Linked DNA regions of Saccharomyces cerevisiae S288C. The protein of the gene in region 4 purifies or fractionates together with the protein of the main gene of each other region. This does not show direct contact. Each region holds a gene or a part of one and is shown on either strand. Other genes may lie near its edges. The genes, in order: UTP20, RCL1, ENP1 and UTP10.

Region 1 (7,810 bases), on a different chromosome or scaffold from region 4:
GAAGCATGATATGTTTTGAAACAAGTGCTTTTAGGAAATTAAAAGCAAGGCCTTGTCTGCTTGGTTCATTTAAATCTGGTAAGACCCTCCCTAGAACATAACTCAAAGCAGTATCCTTTAATGTTGAATCTGTGTGACGTATAAAGGCAGAAAGAAACTTTAAACCCATTTGGCATAATTCGCTTGAAGTTGAAGGAGAAACCTTGATAATATTTAGTACCTTCCTCGCACAGTTTTTGAAGATTTCACTAGATTCATCGGAAAAATCTAGCCTAATTAATGTAATCAGGATACGTAAAGTACTAATTACCACACCTTCATTTTCCGAAAGTAACGAATCTCTCAAAAATGGAATAAAACCCTCTAGGTGCGAGACAGTTAAAAAGGAGCGGTGTCTCGTTATTACGTTCCTAAGTAAGTCTAAAGCAAATTTTTGTAAAGTGCTGTTCAAAAGCAAACTGTTTGAGTTGATGGTATAAGATTTCGACTCCAAATTTACCAAGAAAAAGTCTTCTTTTTCATCTACTTGGTCTTTCACTTTTTTCTTTGGTATTTGAGGGGAATTACTCATTTCTGATTCCTGGAAAAGCTGATGGCAGAACTTGAGGATACTTTCTGACTCAGAGTCACTATTATGATTTAAACCCAACAAATATCGTCTCAATAATTCACTCAGTTTGTTTTGATTTCTTAGATTAATTCTGACCATCAACAAAGCCTTCACAGGAGAGAGTAATGTTCCAAATTCTGTCAGGCTGATGTTTGAGGCGAGAATTTCACCAGCATCATAGCTTTTATTACTCTTAATTTCTTTCACTTTTGTATGATAATTCTCAGAGTCTTTTTCTTCACCAGCGAACCCAAAGATATTTTCCATTATAATCTTAACAATCATACTGGACGAGGTATCCAAATCGGAGTGTTTTAAGACTCCGTGCATACTCTTTAATATGTAGTGGACAGTGTAACTTAACACATGAATTTGAGAACCACGTTTTAATGTAGCCATTAATTCCTTTATCACAAAGACAAGATACTCAGCGCCCAAGATAATACTGATTTTACCCAAGGTTACTCTTACTGCATCTCTTAATTCTTCGGATTTACTTCTCAAAACTTGGCAAATATTTGTTAGAATACTAGGGAGGAAATTAGTAATATCATCATTTGTGAGCCCTAAAACAATATTAACTAATGCCTCCGCAATAGGCATTCTTTCAATTATAGTTTCGTCATCTCTAGTGCCAAGAATTTTCGAAAGAGTCGGATACAATTCTTGCTTAATAAAATTACTGGGTTCATCTAAGTTGGAAGGAAATTTGCTCAAAGTAAGTTTCGACTCAGCCCCATCTCTTACGATACGAAGAGTTTCTCTAAGTGGAACAGAAAGTTGAACAATTAATTGTACGGCTTGCTTCATTTGGTTAGGCTTGGTTTTCAACATAGAAATGTACCTTCTAAGAAGAGCTTTGTATTGATTCCAACTCATGTGCTGCGCCAACCCTCCGATGGCTATTTGGGTCTCATTTCCAATATTTCTGTATCTTTCATCATCCGAAAAGACATAATGTTCGATCATTGGAATTAAATAATGGGATATACTGTTATCTTTGAGTTGATGAGCATGTTCACCTAGTCTTTTAATGGCTCTCTGACGACGATGAAGCTGAATATGATTAACGTTTGTAAAAAAATCTGCTTCTTCATCACCATTGTACAGTAAAATGGCCATATCTTCGAAGTCGGTGAAATATTTCGTGTTTTTTACCATATATGATAGCACTGATACATACTCACTTTGTACCTCTTCTAGGGAGTCTCTGAGGCCAATCCTTATATTGGGTAAAAGTATATCCTTCAGCATAGAAATCGATTTTGAAGCTTCATTAAGATTAGGCTTTTCGTTAATGAAGTCAATAAACTTCATTATAGCGTGGGATGCGTTTGTTCTTAACGCAAGTTCTTCCTTATTATTGATAAAATGTAAAAAGGTGAACAACAGAGGTAACCACTCTAACTCACTGTAGGACTTATAACCATCTTCAATTAACCCCTTGAAAGTTGATAAAATTCTAGGAAAATCATATTCATGCATACGTGATGAGGAGTATGAATTCAAGTCCGCAACCAATTTCGAAATACTTTCTAATTCAGGAACTTTTCTACCGAGTTCTATGAAGAGCTCTGTCAAGGAAACCCTGAGGTTTCGCTCGTCAAATGTTTTGAACAAAGAAGATATGGTAGTGTATAGTTCTTCAATATCACTCCAAGAACAATTGTAGTTGAAAACTATCAGCTTTAATATTTTCAAAATTTTTTGGGTATCATTTTCCTGCAGTTTTTTTAGCTTTCCTTTTAATATTGATATTAATGAACTAATTAAACGACTTCTAACATGATCATCTTGAATAAATCCCATCTCAGTGATACTAACTAGCAAATTCAAAAATGTGGAAATCGAGTTTGAGTCAGAAAGTTTGACATATAGCGAAGGAAGTATTTTCAGACATGATGTGCAGATGAGAGTCACCAAATCTACGTAGTGATCATCATTTACTGGATTTCTAATAATTGAGTCCGCCGCTTCAATTATTGGGCCAATAACAGCTTCCTTAACGTGTTGGTTTGATATGGTGTCCATCAATGCAGTGGCAGTTGCAAATTCATCGTAATACAAAAACTGGTACAGAGATGGATTGTGTGCCCAATAAAGGAAAAGTCTTAGTAAAGAGGAGGGTTGTTGTAAGTTTTCATCCGAAAAATGTGAAATACGAGGCTTAACTACAACGGCGTAAATATCTTCCATAGAAGTAGACCAATCAAATGTATTTCCAACAAATTCAAAGACACTACTTAAACATTTTAGACCTTGTTGCCTTAAATTACTTGCCATCTTTCTTAAATGTACCTCCTCTGTGCTCTCAGTATCTAAGACATAGTATGCCATAGCAATTGAATAGATCAACGGCTGCAGCACTGAATTAGTATGCAAAGGAAAATTTGTTCTTAATACAGACAGAGTAGAATTTACAATGTTAACGAAACCAGTCATCCGTCTGATAGTTTTCAAGGTAGCCTTTGAGCTATTTATTTGATGGCTGTTCCCAAAAAAATAATTATAATCCAGCCTTTCACTAGCCAAACTCAAAAAATCATTAATATATGGCTTCTTAAAATTTGGCAAAACTGAAATGACAGCTATTTTGCGGCTTCTTTTCTGTCCACTAGTTGGGGGGACTTGTGCTCGACCGAAGAAAATTCTAAGGACATAAGGCATGACTACCTTTTCGTCCTCAGCCTTGATAGACTGCGACCCATTTTCGGTTAAAAAAGTCGTAATCTCGTCCTTGAATAAGGTGTCATCTAGTAGATTTTTCAAATTATCTCTATATTTATTCAACGTTGGATTTTTGTATGCAAGAAGTGCGTCCAACGCAAGCTTCTGAACGTCTGTATTACGGCTACCCAACAGTACCATCAGATGATCGTGCAATTCTGTTGCACTATAAACATTCTTTATATTTTTGAACTTGCTTAAAGTCTTTAAAAACACGTTTCTATCAACTTCTGTCCATGAACCAGTAATAACACGTTCATTTTCCATATCCTCTTCATCTTTGTAAGTCTTGAAGTCATTATAAACAAAAGGTGCGATGTCGACGAAGTGATTTTCAGCAACTTGAGGAATCGATAGCATAACTTTTAGAGCCTGATTTCTAATTAAAATTGGGTAGGTGGTGTTCCCCCTTCTTTCAATAGTAGTAGATATAATGCTCGTATTTTGAGTAGAATACTTTGACCAAATATGTGAGAACGTATCAATAGTGTCCCTTAACCTCACTACACTCGAATCCCACAGAACTTTGTTTGCACCATCTTCAAGAAGAGGCTGGTAGTAATCCAAATTTTGATTTTCATCAGGAAGTTTAATGAATGATAGCACAAGTTTCCAAACGAGGGCTTCATCTTTTGTGTAAACATTAGGAAGAGTGTCAAAAACACCAGTCCAAACTGGAGAGAATCTAACGGTAAGAAGGCCAAATAAGTATTTGAGAAAGAAAGAGGATACTAGCTTGTCTGTTTTGGTTTTTCCGAATTCGGCACCAACATTCTTGATTCTAATGGTTAAATCTCTGGCATTTTGTAGTGTAAGAGGTATTTCCTCGATAACCATACATGAAGAAAGGAGGTCAGGTACTTGCATACCCTGCAAAATCATTAATGTCTTCATTAATTCTAAAGTTTCATAACGAATCTTCCCATCAGGCAACATAAAATTATCTGTCAAGCTAAGGAGTAGACTTGGATAGTGTGACATTAGTCCTTTTAAGCTTTCTGAAGGATGAAGATTACTCACTAACTTGTTCCATCCTCTTAAAAAGTTTAAACTTTCTTTATAGTTTTCGTAATTATCCAGAATAGTCTTTAATAGATTATTCCCTGAAGCGTCGTCTTCTTTACGATATATTTTTAAGAGTGTACCGACCATATCTTTCGTAAAATTATCTGGTGATGCAAAAGTTGAAAAGATACGTTCAAGCAATGGGATAATAATTTCTGTATTCTGTAATTTCGAATATTTAAAAATTATAGCTCGCCAATATATTTCGAAAAGGTCATTCGAATCATTAATTTCTGCTGTGACAAAAAAATCTCTGATAGATAAAATAAATTCTTCTGGGAAATTTACTTCCCGTACTTTCTGCAGTTCAGGCTTATCATCTACTTCTAGAAAAAAAAGTGCAATTTTTTTTCCTTGTGATTGCCAATTTTTCTTTAAAAATAACTGTAGGAATTTTAATCCATTGAATGAAAATACTCTTTCATAGCTTAGCCTTAAAGCAAATTGAAAGAATTCAAGGAAACAGTCAGATATATTTGTTAAAGCGTAGTTAAAAAGTTTTTGGTGGAATAATGTTAAAGTTTTCACGTCACTGTTACGAATAAATAAAGCAAATAGGAAAGCCACTTTATCCTGTGAAAGCGAAGCACAATTTTCACTTTGACTCATTATTCTTTCAATTAGGATAGTAATTTTATTCCAATCAGGAATTTTTCTACCACTTTCCGAGAAGACAATTGTTGTCAATACTTTTAATATTCTATCGATATTGGTGGCATCGAGAGAATCGTTAAAATCCTGATACATAACTTCATAGACTGGAAGTAAACTTTCGATTGAGGCGTACTTACTAATGTTCATCCAAATATCTGAGAGCAATGAAACAGATCTTTCCGGGGATGATTTGGTCAAAGCTTCATGCAAAAGAACGCTCATGATAGCTTTAGCTTTCGAATGCAGAGTTTCTTGCGTTGACGTCATGGATTCTGTGAATAATATCAGAAGCCCTTCGTAGAGGTTAGTTTGCTCATCATCTCCCTCTAACTTTTCAAAAACTGATCTAACAAACTCGCGCAAGTTAGAAACAGGACACTTTCTTACTAAAAAAGATAATGCTTCTGCTGAAAATCTTGAAAGATATTCCTTAGAATGAGACAATAGTGGAATTAAAAGATCACATGTGAGTACCAGTTTTTTAACCAAAAATTTCGAGAGATACTTGAAAATATAAGCCAAACAGTTGAAACCCCACTCAAAAACATTAGATGACTCAAATTCTATAGCAGCGTCTAACAGATTTATTAAAGTTTTGATAGCTTCTTCATAAAATTTAAGAAAATCTGGACCTAAATCATGACAAAATTGAGCCAAGAGGTCCAGAAGCGGTTGCAAAGAAAACTCATCGTGAAAGTTAATGAATGAAACCAAAGAATTAAAAATCTTTTTATCATGATATAGTATTTGGGGTAATGTTTGAACATCATGCTCAATTTCCGCTGCAAACTCCGTAAATTTGGCACTTAAATTAATTTCTTTCCACTGATCAAAGGAAGCGAGAAAATGCGACGACTCGACATAATCATGTACCCTTTTTTCCAAATTTCTAGCCGGTTCAATCTTCAAATCGTCAATCCTAGCCTTGAAGGAAGAATATCTATATCGCTTAGACGATTTAGTAGTTTGTCTTTGTTTAGCCATACTTTCAATGAAATATGTGTAACTGATACTAGAAATATACCAATACGGCCAACAACGTAAAACTGGATGTAAACAGGAAAGAATATGATCTTTAATTTACAACCTACACTACCTGTTTAATCGGTGGTTTTTACGCTACCAAATTTAATAATGCAACTTTTCAATGCTCATCGGTAAAAATTTTCGGAAAGACATAAACTCAAAATTTTTTCTTTACAAAAGTCCGGGTGACATTACATACATACGCCTTCAAAACACTACCTTAGAAAATGAAGCGAGAGGTACATTTCATTAGCTTTAAATGAGCCAGGAAGAAATACACTGCAGCCGATATAACTCATATAGCATACTTTTAACGGGTGATAAGTCGTTACGAAGAAGGCCAAGTTCTATGCCAATCTTTTAATAAAACATAAACGTGATGCTTTTACCACGTATTCCATTGACTTTACGTACTCTTATTACTGTCCAAAAAATAACGACAACTGCAGGACTCGAACCTGCGCGGGCAAAGCCCAAAAGATTTCTAATCTTTCGCCTTAACCACTCGGCCAAGTTGCCTCGTTTTACATGATATCATAACTTACCAGAATAAATAAACCGTCATTATGAATTATCTATAAATATCAAACATGTATGAAACTGGGAATTCTGATAAATTTTGTCATAACTGTTGGGATTCCTGAGAAATGGGGGAATGTTGAGATAATTGTTGGGATTCCATTGTTGATAAAGGCTATAATATTAGGTATACAGAATATACTAGAAGTTCTCCTCAAGGATATAGGAATCCTCAAAATGGAATCTATATTTCTACATACTAATATTACGATTATTCCTCATTCCGTTTTATATGTTTCATTATCCTATTACATTATCAATCCTTGCACTTCAGCTTCCTCTAACTTCGATGACAGCTTCTCATAACTTATGTCATCATCTTAACACCGTATATGATAATATATTGATAATATAACTATTAGTTGATAGACGATAGTGGATTTTTATTCCAACATACCACCCATAATGTAATAGATCTAATGAATCCATTTGTTTGTTAATAGTTTGAATGTTTTTATCGGAAGAGGTTTGGTCATTACGTCTGCAATATTCTTTTTGGTTTCGATATAGCATACGTGCAGATGATTTCCTGATACTTCATCTCTCAGTCTCATTGCTTTAGTACCAAAAAATCTGTTTCTAAATTTCTCTTCATTATTGGATATAATTATACTGATTGTAGATTTACTGTCGGTTAGTAATCCTTTGGTAATTGGTTTCTTGTCGAGTTCTTGTATCAGGTAACTTAGATTATTTAATAATGGGACAGATTCACTTATTGCGTGTATTTCTGCTTCCGTGGTTGAAGTACATGTTAATGAAGCCTTGGTGGACTTTCCTCCAATTACTTTTCCATTAAGTAAATATATGTTGCCAATTTGTGATTTATAATACGGTTGGTTACCATACGAGGCATCGCTTATAACAACTAATTTATTTGTTGGCTTAACAGGTTTGCTTTTGTGCCATATTAATTGCTTATCTCTCGTATTCCATATGAACTGTATCAATTCATATGTCATATCTAACACTTGCTTGGACGGAAATAGTATATGTTGTGCAAGTGTGTTGATGTAGTATAATAGGTCAAATCTAAATTTATATCCAACATATGATGCTAGACCTATCAGCTTTTGCATTTCATGTACCTTCATTTTGTAATCATCTTCTTCTAGCTCTAGTTCTTGCTGGTCTATATATAGACCTGGT
Region 2 (3,388 bases), on a different chromosome or scaffold from region 4:
TTGCGGACGGTAGGTATCCTGGAACAAAAGTCATCAATTTGAACGCAACGGTTTTTGAATTTAATCCCTTTGAAATGGGATCCTGGGATCCCTCTTTGAACTCTTTTGCCAACGTTAAGTACCTTGGAACGAATGTCTCCAATGGTGTACCATTGGAAAGGGGAAAATGTACCGCAGGCTTTGATAATGCAGGTTTTATCATGGGTACTTCCTCCACCTTATTTAACCAGTTTCTTTTGAGAATAAACTCCACTCACTTACCTAGTTTCATCACAAGATTAGCAAGACATTTTCTAAAGGATTTATCTCAAGATTTTAATGATATCGCTGTTTACAGTCCTAATCCATTTAAAGACACGAAGTTTTTGGATAGTGACTATACGACAAGTATTGTTGATTCAGACAGCCTATTCTTAGTTGACGGCGGTGAAGACGACGAAAATGTTCCTGTGTTACCGCTTATACAAAAGGAACGTGATGTGGACATTATTTTTGCGGTAGATAATTCTGCCGATATGAGATTGGCTTGGCCTGACGGTTCTTCTTTAGTCCATACCTATGAGCGTCAATTCGTTAAGCAAGGTCAAGGTATGTCCTTCCCATATGTTCCAGATACGAATACATTCGTTAATTTGGGTTTGAACAAGAAACCAACCTTCTTCGGTTGCGATGCTAATAATTTGACCGATCTTCAATATATTCCACCTCTAGTTGTTTATCTGCCAAATGCAGAATACTCTTTCAATAGTAATCAGAGCGCGTTCAAGCTATCATATTCCGAATCCCAAAGAAGAAGTATGATTCAAAACGGGTTTGAAATTGCAACTAGGAACAACTTCACTGATGATCCTGAATTCATGGGCTGCGTCGGCTGCGCCATCATTAGACGTAAGCAACAAGCTTTGAATATTACTTTGCCTCCGGAATGTGAAACCTGTTTTAAAAATTATTGCTGGAATGGTACCCTGGATACTACCCCATTACCAGATGTTGAAAAGGATGTTCACCACTCCTTTATCAACGTCAATAGCTTCAACAGCTCCATAGGACAAGAAGAAAGTCTTTACGCCGGATCTTCAGCTTCCCAGTCATCGTCTTCATCATCGTCTTCATCTTCGTCTTCGGAAATTCCTTCGGCTACTGCAACCCTTGAGAAAAAGGCAGCTACTAATTCTGGATCACATTTATCTGGCATAAGTGTAAAGTTCTCTGCTATGATTATGCTTACTTTATTGATGTTTACCGGAGCAGTATAATATCTCTTGCGTAATAACGGTATACAAAATGAGGCAATAAAAATCAAAGAACTACACTATAAAATAACGAAACATAAAGCTGAAAGACTAGCAAAATCACTAAAAAACTAAAATAAAAAAAGAAAATGAGCATTTCCCCTTTGCATTGAAGTATCATCCCTTTCGGGCAAGACCATGTTTAAGGAACTTCACTAATGACATCGGAGGTCTATATATAGCAGACCTCTTCTTTAAAAGATATAACTTTATAATTATAACCCCGCGCAAAGCGTATTAATACTTTAAATGGGTAGTCAAGTTGCTTTTATTACTTGCACTTACTTTGAAGGAGGATGTCAGAATTACCCTCGCCATATTGGTAATGTAATTTTTCACGGACTCGAGATTGAAAAAATTTCAGAAAAATTTGCAAAAAAGTGCCGATGAGATGAGCCTTCATAAGCTACGTATGTTGTAAGGGTATAACATCTGTCAAGCTTCACCATTGTCAACACTTTTCCACTAGGATAATCCTCCAAAAGTATAGCAATGTCATCTTCCGCCCCCAAATACACCACTTTCCAAGGGTCACAAAATTTTAGGTTACGGATCGTCTTGGCAACATTATCAGGGAAACCAATAAAAATTGAAAAAATCCGTTCAGGCGACTTAAATCCCGGTCTGAAAGATTATGAAGTGTCTTTTCTAAGGCTGATCGAGTCGGTCACCAACGGGAGTGTAATTGAAATTTCTTATACCGGTACTACTGTGATTTATAGGCCCGGTATCATAGTTGGTGGTGCATCAACTCATATCTGCCCTAGTTCCAAACCGGTAGGTTATTTCGTCGAACCAATGCTATATTTGGCTCCATTTTCAAAAAAGAAATTTTCTATATTATTCAAAGGCATAACTGCATCTCACAACGATGCCGGTATTGAAGCTATCAAATGGGGACTCATGCCCGTTATGGAAAAATTTGGCGTTAGAGAGTGCGCCCTACATACTTTGAAAAGAGGTTCACCACCACTAGGAGGTGGCGAAGTGCATTTGGTTGTTGATTCTTTGATTGCGCAACCTATAACTATGCATGAAATAGATAGGCCCATAATTTCATCGATTACCGGTGTAGCATACTCTACCAGAGTAAGTCCGTCGCTTGTGAATAGAATGATCGATGGTGCTAAGAAGGTATTGAAAAATCTGCAATGCGAAGTTAACATAACGGCAGATGTCTGGAGAGGTGAAAATTCAGGGAAGAGTCCAGGCTGGGGTATTACTTTGGTTGCTCAGTCCAAGCAGAAAGGTTGGAGTTATTTTGCAGAAGATATCGGTGATGCAGGTTCTATACCTGAAGAACTTGGTGAAAAAGTTGCCTGTCAATTATTAGAAGAAATATCAAAGAGTGCAGCAGTTGGTAGAAACCAGCTTCCATTAGCAATTGTTTACATGGTCATCGGGAAAGAAGATATCGGCAGATTGAGAATTAATAAGGAACAGATAGACGAAAGATTCATAATCCTCTTGAGAGATATTAAGAAGATCTTTAATACTGAAGTCTTTTTAAAACCAGTTGACGAGGCGGATAATGAAGACATGATAGCTACTATCAAGGGTATTGGTTTCACAAACACAAGCAAAAAGATTGCATAGCATGTTCTAATATTATTCAATAGATATTAGACCACTGTATATAAGTTATATATATATATATGATTATTTAGGTGTAACTTCACGGACAACTGTCTAGAGTATAAGATTACTGGAGGATCATTGATGATTTCCTTTAACTCTTTTGGGTCATCTAAAATATCATCAAAGAGCGTATGCGAAAAGCGCGTTAAGAATAGATTACTTCATGACAAAATATAATTTTCCAGCTCAAAAATGTTTGTTTTTTTATGTAGACACTATTTTCAAACTATCTTTGTTAAATTACTCATCACCATCGTTGAAATCCAGATTAATCCAACTTGGCCATGCTAACTCCTTTCTTAAAAAATCTTTGAATATCGTAAACAAAAACTGTTCTAGTTCTCCAACACTTCTTAATACTGAGCCCTGTCCCTGATATTGTTCCCCTATTTCGGTTTCAATCTTCATACTTCTCACAATGGATATTCGCTCCAATGGCTTAGTAGCTGCCAGAATTG
Region 3 (3,582 bases), on a different chromosome or scaffold from region 4:
TTTGGAGATTTGTTGAATCCCCCATTGATCAGGAACAATCTCACCACAACGGCTCCGATCGGCTTTTAGTTTGTTGCATGTACAATGGTGCCAAGGTGGTGACCATGAATGATAATTCCGATGAGTATTTTCAAATTCAACATTATCTGAAGAAGGGCCATGATTCGATGTGTTACGGTGGCGACTGGTCAAATTCTTTGATCGCAACATGCTCATTTTATGATAATTCCTTGCAAACATGGATAGTTTAGAAAAAAAAATTCAGTCTGCAATATATGGACTAATATATAGGCTAATATATAGGCTAATATATAGGCTAATATATAGGCCATATTTTGATGATTTCGATAGATTATGCATAAAGAATTGATAGGAAGGAACTTGCCTGAACAATAATCTTTTACTCTATATTTTCTACTTATTATACATGATTCAGAAGCTTTGTTGAAAGGGGGAAAGACCGAGCGATATAAAATTGATGAAAAATTGATATTACAGCATCAATTGACATCAATCATTAAATCATCATTAGCTTCCTGTGGATCAACAAACTCCCTGCTGGCTCCTGCCAATAGTTCTCTTCTAATCTCAGGACCGATATCTTTATGGCCTCTTTGACGAACAGTTTCCAACAAGAAATCTCTCTGATCCTGGGTAATATCGTTCTTGTAACGTTGTGCAAATGTTAAGAAAGCCTTGTGCCATATCACTGGGAGTACTCTTGTAGCATCTTCCCCATTACTACCGTCATCCAAAATTCTAAACCTCATAAAGTAATACACGCAGTCGTCCACCGTCTGGTACGGTAAAGCATATTTTTTATCGAGCAATATTTTGATAAAAACAGTTGTAGGTGGAGAGAAAGGTAGCCTTAAAAGATAACTCAAGGCAGCTGAAGAATGTAAAGCCGGAACAGAGACTTTAGCAAGCACACTTCCTGCAATTGTCGCTTCACGTACATTACACCCTGTTTCAACCAATGGGAATAGGAAACCTTTGAAGAAGGCACTTGGTTTATAAAGCGATTTTTTCACCGCACGGTATATATGATAGTTTAAAGAGTGGTCTTCACTGGTCTCGATATTGTCACGGAAACGTTCAAGTAAAATTAGGTTAATAAATTTTTGAGATTCTTTAGCAGTTAGGTTGGATACAAATAATTTCGTTGCTTCGTAAACAACGTGTGGTGACCATTCTTCCGGGTTGGTCACATAAATGACATCTTGCCAATTTCTTAAGGATGGGATAACCTTGAACAACTTTGGCAACTTACCGTGCGTCCAAGTTTTTAAAATACTACCTACCGTAGTATATGCTTTGATGACCTTCTCTGGAAGTGCAACACCCTCTCCACTCTTCAAACCGGATGAAATATTGCCTCTTGAGGTATTCTGTTCATTAGCAAGTGGTTCATCATCTTGCATATCTTCAACTTGACTTTCCTTTTCTCGGATAGAGGCCATAATCTTGTCTGCAAGATTATAGCTACCACTTAAAGAGTTAAAATCATCTGATTTCTTGAAATATTGCTCAAACATCGCTGCGTCTTCTTCATCGATTTCAACTATCTCTTCCTCTTCTTTATAATCACCTTCGGGTTCAAAATCGGAGATGTCTTCTCCAAAAGCTTCTTCGTCTTCGTCTTCGTCTTCGTCTTCATCATCATAGCTCATGGTGGTGAATCTGGCTTCAAATTGCTTGTTTCTTTCTGATTCAGCAAGTTCCTCACCTTCAATTTCATCCTGTTGTTCCTTGGCCAACTGCAAAATTTTTCTTGATGCTTTGGAGTCTATGTATCCATCTTCCTCATTTGCAGCATCGTGATTTGCAGCATCGTTCTGCGCTAGCTTCTTTTTATTGATTTTTTTCAAGGTACCTTGAGCTGCATCTAAATCCTTTAAAAGTGGATCATGCCTCTGTTTTCTGGCTTTAGTAGAGGATGCTCTGGCCATTATAGTTAATCTTTCTAATATATTGTTTTATCTGTAAGTCTTAAAACGAGACAAATCTTGGATTTAAAACAACTTAGTGCATATTTCCTTTCGTCAATGTTGAAGAAGTGGGAGCTCATCGATTTTTAAAAATTTTCATTTCCGATGCCTCGCTAAAAAAAAAAAATGAAAAAGTGGAAAAATATGTTCTATTTCTTCCCCTACTGACACCACCAATAATACAACCATATAAGTTGGTACAATTTCTCCAAGCTGTACATCCTCTTGTGTTGTGAAATGTCTGATTTAACATCTATCATTATTGCGTATATAGACTGAGTCAAGATTATAAAGTATACATATCCAACCACATTACTCTTCATCCATTCTAACCTTTAATCCGTGCTCTAGTAAATACTCCTTTACATCGTTAACAGTGAATTCACCTCTGTGGAACATACCTGCACCCAAGCAAGCATCTGCGCGGGTCTTTAGGAAGGCCTCTTCGAAATGTTCGGGTACACCGGCGCCACTGGATGCAATGACGGGAATCTTGACCGCATCTTTAACATGTTCTATCAATTCCAGATCATAACCAGAATTAGAGCCATCCTTGTCTATGCAGTTCAATAAAATCTCCCCAGCACCTAGAGCTTCACATGCCCTTGTTAATTCCCACACACCAAGGTCTCTAGATTCTCTTCCACCTTTGATTGTACATTGGTACCAGCAGTATTTCTCTCCATTGGGGCCCGGATATTCTGTCTCGAAGACTTTGTTCTTCGTATCTGCTTGTGAATTTACATATACTCTCTTAGGGTCGACAGAAATAACAACTGCCTGAGCACCGTATGCTTTCGAGATTGTCTCTATTGGTGACGTTCCATCTCCTCTGTTACCCAACTCGTAGTATTTTTCGGCTGCATAGACTGCATCCGTACCGATCGATACTTTATCAGCACCAGATCTGAAGTATAGACTTGCAACTTCTAAAGCAGGTATTTTGGTTCCATCAACATCGACAATATCCTTGATCCCCCCACCGACTGTCAATGGAACAAAGACTGTCTTTGCGGCTTGTTTCAGAACCTCTAGCATCGGAGTATCCTTCAAAGGACAATCTCTAAAAGAAGTTATATTCAAAAATGTTACTTCATCCGCACCCTGTTGGTAATATTTCTGTGCCAACTGAACAGGCTTACCAAGGTTTCTAACACCTTTACCATCACTTTTTTCACGTACATCGTATTGATCACCTTTAGTAACCACCAAATCACCTTGGTCATTAGTACGTACATCAAGACAAGCAATAATTCTGCGTGTTAGACCATAATTTGAATAGTCATTCATTAAGAGTTCCTTCTCTTCCGCACTATAGTTTGGAATCGGAGGACTTTGTTGCTTCAAAAAATTCTCAATGACGTTCAAACCAGCTTTACCTGATTTTTCAGGATGGAACTGAGTAGCGAATATATTATTCTTGTTGACTGCCGCAATAAATTCCTCTGAACCGTACTTAGCTTTTGCAATTTTCCAACCGTCATTTTCTAGGTTTTTTTTCTTTTCTGAATTCAGAATGGCAGCAAAAGAATGGACGAAATAGTACCTCTTGTATGGATCCAATCCAAAGAATAGGTTTTCCGAGGGAATG
Region 4 (7,651 bases):
AATATGCCCTTCTTCTTCGCTTTGATTTAAGCTGTTGAGGTTTTCACTTGATTTTGGTTCAAATACATTATCTCGTTTTCTAATGTTATAGCCTCGAAGAGTTGTAGCCTGCGATGCCATAATATTACCAGTAGAATTGTAGAGCACAGTACAAATACCCGAAATGATATTCGTATATCTAGTATTATAGCTTCAACCGCTTGCAATATGTTCTCTTTCAAACTACCTTATTATCAAGCCTATATCTTATTTTTCACTGATTAGGATTGATAAGCGCAGATAAGCGAAGATAAGAAAATTTTCACTCTGTTCGCCCGCTATTTAGGATCAGTAATTTTAGTAACGTTAATCACTAGGAACGACGAGAAAGATGACAGAATAATATCTCATTGAAACTTGAAGTAGCGTAATTGAAATATTAAGTTCAAACTCAGAAAGGGGCAGCTATCACGAATGAATAACAATATTTTCAATGAAAGATTTCGTTCAACAGCATAGTGTTTTACTTTACAAAAATTTACATAATACTTCACCTTTTTTTTCTAATCTAAATACCTATCAAAAGGTTCCCCTAAAACGTTTTCAACAACCTTGACCAAACCGGTCCTGACTTCACGTTCGATCTCTTCATCATCATCTTCCAATAACTCAGCGATGACGGGAACGAGCTGTGGCAATAGAACTAACCAACTTTCACCTATCTTTGAGTATATCAACTTCATGGCTCTAATAGCCCATAATTTTTCATTGGAGGAACAGGAAGCTTTCATGTGTTCAACGATTAGTTTATTCAAAATTTGGTTATGCTCATCAACGCCACTATTGTTAGAAGCCAGAGCGCCAATTGCCTTGACCAGGTACTTCCCAATAGAGTTTTCTATATTAGATAGTTGATTGACCAAGGATACAGAAATTAACTCGAATCTGGAAGTTGATTTCCAGTATTCGTCTCTATCAAACTTTAGCGAAGAGGTTAGAGAGTTGATTACCAAACGTCTTAAATTAACGTTTTCCATGTCCTTGCTAATGAATCTTTTTAACAACATATCAACAGGTTCTAACAAATACGTGAAATAGGAAGTAATTATACCTCTCAAATTTTCTTGAAGCTTGTTGAAAAATTTGAAAAATGCCAACAGTCTTTCTGTTTCAGTGATACCTGCATTTGTAACGCCTTCACCGTCAAACGCCCATCTTACTAATATAACAAATAGCGGTCTAAATACTTTGTCATTCATCTTCAGGACGTAAGAGTTGGAAATTTCGTGAACGGATGCCTCTATCCTACTAATTGTATTATTATCGAAACTGGAAATGGATCTAAATTCGAATAAAGATAATAGTAACTTAAAAAATATTGGCGATTGTGAGGTTGCGGATTTTTTATCAATATTTTCAACAGTGGATTCTAATGTACTCAAAAATAGACTAACAGCAACTGTATCATTGGACGTTGCTATTTCAGTGGACCAAATTCTGAATAAAACTTTCAAAACTTCCTTCAAATCTATATTCTCAATTATCAATGAAATTACTGACAGCCTAATGCTGCTGTCAACTTCACGGGAAAAATAAATAACATGCAAAACATCCAAAATATTTGACATCAAGAAACTTGGTATCCTTTTGATTAGACCGGCGAACAGCAACAGTATAGCAACTTGCAACTGCTCTTTTAATGGGTTACTACTATCTGCCAATGAAGCATCAAATAATTTAATAGAAGGTGGGACTATTTTTGGATAGAACGCAATTGACTTGACTCCTAAAACTTGAACACAGTTAGTTATCAATGCCAACGAAGATATCTTGACCTCTGTCATATCAGAACTAACTTTTTCAGTAGCAAGGGTGAGGGCTTGAGTTAATATGGACCCCTCAAGCTTCTTACCATATTTGCTCACTAAAGCCGTCATCGTGTTCAATATTACTTGAGAAATAACAACAGATTTAGATTCCAAAGGCATTCTGTCGAGCAAAACCTTCATCACATTGTTAACTATAGGAATAGCTTCAGAGCCTTCTAACTCGAATTTGGACCCTATTACCAACGTTAGGTGGTATCTAATATCTTCATTAGTGGATGTACTGAGTAAGGGTAATACCGCATTAACAAACTCGTCAACTGGTAGAATTTGTAACACATTGCCAAGCACCTTGAATAGAATCTCCTTTATTTCAGTCGTGTGATCTGATAATGATGTTTCAGAGTCGGAAGCTTCCTCATTTTCTTGGGAAGTTATACATGAAAAGGTTAATTCTACAGAATTAATGAAAAAAAGAACACCTTCTAAAAGGGTTCCAAATTCTTCCCTGATGTTTCTAATTAACTTTTTATCGCTTGTTTCATCTAACAAAACAGAATATACCTTTAGTCTTAAATTTCTCCTCACATCGTAATAATCTTGATCTGTTTCCTCGGTTATTTTATTGATAAACTCAAAGGTATTGTTCATAAATGTCAAAAATTCACTTTCCGAAAAATTCAAGACACCATTTGAAAACAAGACACGGGATTCTAGTGATTTCTTCTTTTCCGAGGAGCTCTTTGATGATGTCAACAATTTGATGATATCGAGTAAGTCATTCAAACCTGATAATTCCTCATTGACATGTAGATCAACGAGTAGGGCCTTAATAAACTCAATTAATATTCTTGCCTCGCCAATTTTAAAGTTGACTAAAGCTGAAGAATACTGTTGTGCAATCAAGAAAAGGAACGAGCCCAGTGCCTTTACTGGATCAAGTGTTTTGATTAACGTAGAAAATAATTTAACCCTCCTATGTCTTGGAACATGTTGCAAAGCGGTTGTGAAGCTCAACAAAAGGAACTCCATTTCCTCTTTTTCATTTCCTTTGCTATTCTTGATCAAGGCAGGGACAACAGTTAGTATCGTACGCTCAACAACTTTAGTTGTGAATTCATCATCTTGACGAATACTATGGGCTCCCATAAAAGTAAAGATAGGCATTACAGAATGCAAAATAACTTCCGAACTTAAAGTAGCAAGAGATCCAATTACAAGTAATAGTTTGTTTTGGACTTGCGGAGATGCAGAATTTCTAATAGCGGATACCAATATATCTGCCCTTACGTTGGTTAGTTCTGTACAGCCATGTTCCTTCAAGTATGTGATAGTGTTCAGCGTACAAGAAATCAAAGTTTCTTGCGCATATAAAACCGGTAATCCACCGTCTTGATCCAAAGTTTCCAGATCTGATAATAAGGAAAGTAAAGTGAACAAAAGCTTTTCGGATCCAACATTTCTGACTTTATCAAGTGCTTCCAAAATAATCGTCAACTTTCTCAGGTGCAATTCCGCCAGTTGCGAAACCTCCTCTTTCAAAAATGCGTTTTTACTTGTTGATGAACGTCTTCTTCTTCTTTTAGAAAAGTCTGTCTGATCCATTTCGTTACTGATACTGTTTTGATTTAGTATGGATACAAAAATATCGGAATCTAACGGCAATGATTGTAGTACACCGACTGTATCGTACGATGATTCTACGTTACTCGAAGAATCCACGATATTTTGGACGATTTTTAGTTTTTGAGCATTATTTAATGAAGCGAATATGCTGATAAGCCTCTCGGCAGCTATGTTAGCTAACTGCTCATAATCTGAGTTAAGAGCACTGAGAACAAAATCGATCATGAATGACTGCTTTTCTTTTGGTGATACCAAATTAACTAAAGAGCGCTCAAAATGCTCAAAGTTTGTTTTATTAGCAATACAACTCTTTTCCCAACTAGATCTGTTTTCTAAGTAGTGGGAAATAAATTCCTCAAATAGGGAGGAATAAGAAGATGCATAAGTCGGACTCTTGTTCAGGTTATCCAACAACACTGTCTTGGCATACGGAGAAGGTATTAGTAGGGCTTGATTAGCCCAAAACATCAAAAAGACTTTTTCATTTCTCTTTGGCGTTAAAATTCTGGATATGTCATAATTCTCAGTAACGTACTCATTCAAAAATCCTGATAACCATGCCTCACTATCTTTGGGATTTAACATAGGAATGGTAACGTTCTCTCCGTAAAGTTTATCAGACAAAAAGTAGTGCTTAGTGGATGGTCTTTTAGCAATCAAGGAAAGAATCTTCTTCACGCCAGTCCTAACTTTTATAGAAGCATCTCGCAAAGCGCAAATCAAGCATGGAACTAAAGTAAAAATATTAACTTCCTTTTCAATACTATTAATATATTTTGCAATATTGTTTAAAGATATTAGCTTTAGCGCGGTTGGAGCGGCTGGAGATATAGTTACTCTTAACAAAAACGTTATTCTTGATTCTAAAGTAGTGAAAAATGAAGTCAAGAAGGAACTTGCTTTATAGCCTTTACCAATAGCTTCAGTGAATAAAGATAAAACCTTTTTGTATCTTTCTCCAGTTTCTGTTAGCATGGACACATTCGTTGTGTTTATCAATTCTGAATGCTTATCCAAGAATGTTTGAAATGAAGCGGTATCCTTTTTAGTAGTTTCCACGGGGTCGCTTAACTGCTTTACAATGTCGGTGTTAACATCGGCATTAGTGAACAAAGATGTAGTAAGCCTGATTTCGAAGAGTTCGCCTGTCAGTCCCAATGATTTCAAACATTTTAACACCAAATCTTCATTTATGGAGATAAAATATTCGAATAGTTCTACTAATTGTGACTTGTCCTCTAAAATTTCGGAAAGGTAAATCAAATCAGTGATTATCAACCTAACTTCGTATCTTTCTAGTCTTATTTTTTTTAGTAGGCTAAGAATAATGTTCAATTTGGACCGATCATACCTTGCTATGGATCTTGTATAGGAAGTAATGAATTTATCACAAACTGGTTTGTCTTCCTTATCTAAGAAGGTTAGTATAGACACAGTGTCGAACTTGCTATCAAATAACTTGAAAATTTTGGAAGGTAGCTGATCTACGTTACCTTGTCCTTTTAATGTTTGGAACAGCTTACAAATCGTGAGGAGTGCTGAATGTTTTGCCTCTTTAGCATCTAAGTTTGAAAGAATGGTTTCCATGGCAGCTAAGATAATTGTTTTCTTTAAAGGCAAAGCTGTAGCAAATACAACTAATATGGTATGTGCAGCTATTTGACAATCCTTTGATTTAGAGGCTAAAAGTTTAGCAGATATTTCAAGTAAGATTGGAACAAGCTGATTCAGTTTTTCATCGTTGTTTGAATTGAAAGCAACAACGTTAATAAAGCAGCATGTTGTAAATAAAAGCTGGTTAGTATACGTTGCATTATGCTTAATACATTGATCCAAATAACTGGTATAAAGTTTCAGAAAATCCATGTCATTAAAGAGCTTTATCATGGTTAGCGCCGTTGGGGGCTTTTCACTTCTAACAAAATTCGACAAACAATTAAACAAAGGGGGCAACTTAATAATGCTGAGAATTCTCTTAAAGACAGGTGTTTGGTAGTAGTTGAGAGTGGACAAAAGCAGCATCTCTGTGTTTTTAACATGTATTTGAAAACGACGAACCAACCATTCTGTTGCATGTAGTGTAGGTGCTAAATACCATTTAGAAGAAGCCAATAGCAAGTAAGCATTGATAGCATTATCCAAATCTTTAATTTCTTCTTTTGTTTGGACATTTCTATCAAGAGAAATGGAAGACTCTGAAAAGAGTGTTCTTGAGAAAATGGCAAATTTTGGCTCAATTTGGCTCAATTCTTCAAGAGCCTTACTAGCGTTTTCAAAAATGAAATCGTAATCTTGTGTTGCAGCCGTCTTTGAGTTATAAATCAAAGAAGCAGAATGAAGTTTTTGTCTTCTCTTTCTATCCAACGCAACAGTAGCATTGTTGGAAGCAACTTGAGCTAATTGGTCACTCAACGAAGACATTTTCAAAGTTATTCGTACTTTGGTGGCCAGTTAGATAAGTCTGATTCTGAAAGGTAATAAAGAAAGTATTTGTTACACCTTCGAAAATATCTAGCTCATCGCTAACTGAAAATTTTTTTCTTTGCTTAACGCAGAAAGAAAAAAGAAAAAAAAAAAAGTCATGTGACTTGAATATTATTAATCTATGTATGTTATGATTATTGGCTATGAAACCATAAAATTGAAAAAAAGGATTCATAAGCTGATATGTTATTTGTACTTAATGCTATATTTATAATTTACTTTTGAAATTTTTCTTAGTGGGTCAAAGTCTTCTTTGATACTGAAGAATGACCCAATGGCAACACTTGGTCCATTGGTTAACAAGTTTCTAACGAAGTGGACCTTGTGAGAGCTTATAAACTGAAAAGACCAGTTTTCTTTTTACCAAAGGGGTAGACAAAGAGTGAAGAAGCAAATAGTCCCACAGAAATACCGACACAAACTTGAATCATTGTCATACCAAATGACATTGAGGACGATGGATCGGAGGTGCTTGTCGTAATGGTTTCATTAGCATTAACAATTGTATTTGCACTTTGCAACCCAGACAACAACGAATTTTGTGAAGCAATACCAGATGGCACTTGAACGAAGATTGCGGGAAGCATAGCTGATACCGCTAAACCTTTCCAAATTCTGGAATATAGATTACCTAAAACACCTATGACAAATGCAGCTAAGGCGGCAGTAAACTCTGTCGAATTCGCAAAATGCTTACCGGCCCAATATGTTACGACATAACCGGTGCAAGAAATGAAGACCATAACTGGCAGTTGTGAGATGTGTGCTTGATTTAATAACGAGATACTAATGGTAAACGCTGGAACGAAGAGGAACCTGAACCACGGAGAAATTAATTGAGGACATGAAATTTCGTTAGTGGCATTGTGATACATCCATCCAAACAAAGCTGAGCCCAATGTTATGCCAAAACCCAAAAACAAAGAATAAATAATGGCGTAGAACATACGGACCGCGCCAGCAACTAGGCTTCGACTTTGCAGTTCTAGTGCACCACACAGAATAATATAACCTGGCAGGATTAATGCCAATGAGCCTTGTGTAACTGCACCAAAGCAGATGTGAGAACGAGGGATAGAGCCAAAAGCTCTACCGCAGAAGCTAACGACAATAGATGCAGAAATTTCGAAGACGTTTGAATACATGTATGACTTTTGTGAAAGAATAAATTGTAATGACCCCACACAAAGCCCCATAAAAAATGAGATTGCCAGGTTTACCCAATCGCCACCAAAGGCATACGGAGTGACCATAGCGGAACAAAATGCATATAAAAGAACACACATCCAAGGTGGATATAGATTCGTGTCAGCCAAAATTTGATCGAGTAAAGCATTACCTTCATCGGCACCTAAGGTATCATGGACAACTCTTTTGTAAACGGCATGAACTTGATGCAGCTTCCAAAGGTTTAGACCTTGAGTACACCTAACCAATTGAACTTCGGAAGTTCTTGTTGTTGCATCACCAAATGAAACAATCATACAACCTGGAAGATACAAAACTGACCATCTATTTCAAGGACTCTAGAAGTCATAACCATATATTCTTCAAGCCTATGCGTCGGAGCACCATACATCATAAGAGCTCTACACATGCGTAGGATGAACCGGTGTCTTTGTAAAATGTCTGCAATGTGAACCGTAATTTTCGCTTCAGTTTTTAGTCTTTTCTTCAGTCTAGGCATTCTGCCTTTTTTAGCCTTGCCTTTTAAATTTTGTAATCTGCTACGCTTG

Evidence for each region.
Region 1: the proteins of UTP10 (region 4) and UTP20 purify together in Saccharomyces cerevisiae (affinity purification with mass spectrometry; 6 studies listed by BioGRID). This does not show direct contact.
Region 2: the proteins of UTP10 (region 4) and RCL1 purify together in Saccharomyces cerevisiae (affinity purification with mass spectrometry; 5 studies listed by BioGRID). This does not show direct contact.
Region 3: the proteins of UTP10 (region 4) and ENP1 purify together in Saccharomyces cerevisiae (affinity purification with mass spectrometry; 9 studies listed by BioGRID, with this or other methods). This does not show direct contact.

What each region holds. Positions count from the first base shown.
Region 1 is NC_001134.8:225,866-233,675, reverse strand, and holds the start of UTP20 (Utp20p), read right to left. Parts: upstream 6,041-7,810; coding exon 1-6,040. UniProt on the Saccharomyces cerevisiae protein: Involved in nucleolar processing of pre-18S ribosomal RNA and ribosome assembly.
Region 2 is NC_001147.6:306,154-309,541, forward strand, and holds RCL1 (rRNA-processing endoribonuclease), read left to right. Parts: upstream 1-1,784; coding exon 1,785-2,888; downstream 2,889-3,388. Other genes in the region: PLB3 (lysophospholipase), read left to right, coding at 1-1,256; ERMES complex subunit MDM12, read right to left, coding at 3,171-3,388. UniProt on the Saccharomyces cerevisiae protein: Does not have cyclase activity. Plays a role in 40S-ribosomal-subunit biogenesis in the early pre-rRNA processing steps at sites A0, A1 and A2 that are required for proper maturation of the 18S RNA. RCL1 activates BMS1 by promoting GDP/GTP exchange.
Region 3 is NC_001134.8:712,504-716,085, forward strand, and holds ENP1 (snoRNA-binding rRNA-processing protein ENP1), read right to left. Parts: upstream 1,953-3,582; coding exon 501-1,952; downstream 1-500. Other genes in the region: RRT2 (diphthamide synthase), read left to right, coding at 1-251; HIS7 (imidazoleglycerol-phosphate synthase), read right to left, coding at 2,304-3,582. UniProt on the Saccharomyces cerevisiae protein: Required for normal export of the pre-40S particles from the nucleus to the cytoplasm.
Region 4 is NC_001142.9:211,458-219,108, forward strand, and holds UTP10 (snoRNA-binding rRNA-processing protein UTP10), read right to left. Parts: upstream 5,853-7,651; coding exon 543-5,852; downstream 1-542. Other genes in the region: GZF3 (Gzf3p), read right to left, coding at 1-120; pheromone-regulated protein PRM10, read right to left, coding at 6,248-7,399; YJL107C (uncharacterized protein), read right to left, coding at 7,396-7,651. UniProt on the Saccharomyces cerevisiae protein: Involved in nucleolar processing of pre-18S ribosomal RNA. Required for optimal pre-ribosomal RNA transcription by RNA polymerase I together with a subset of U3 proteins required for transcription (t-UTPs). Involved in ribosome biosynthesis.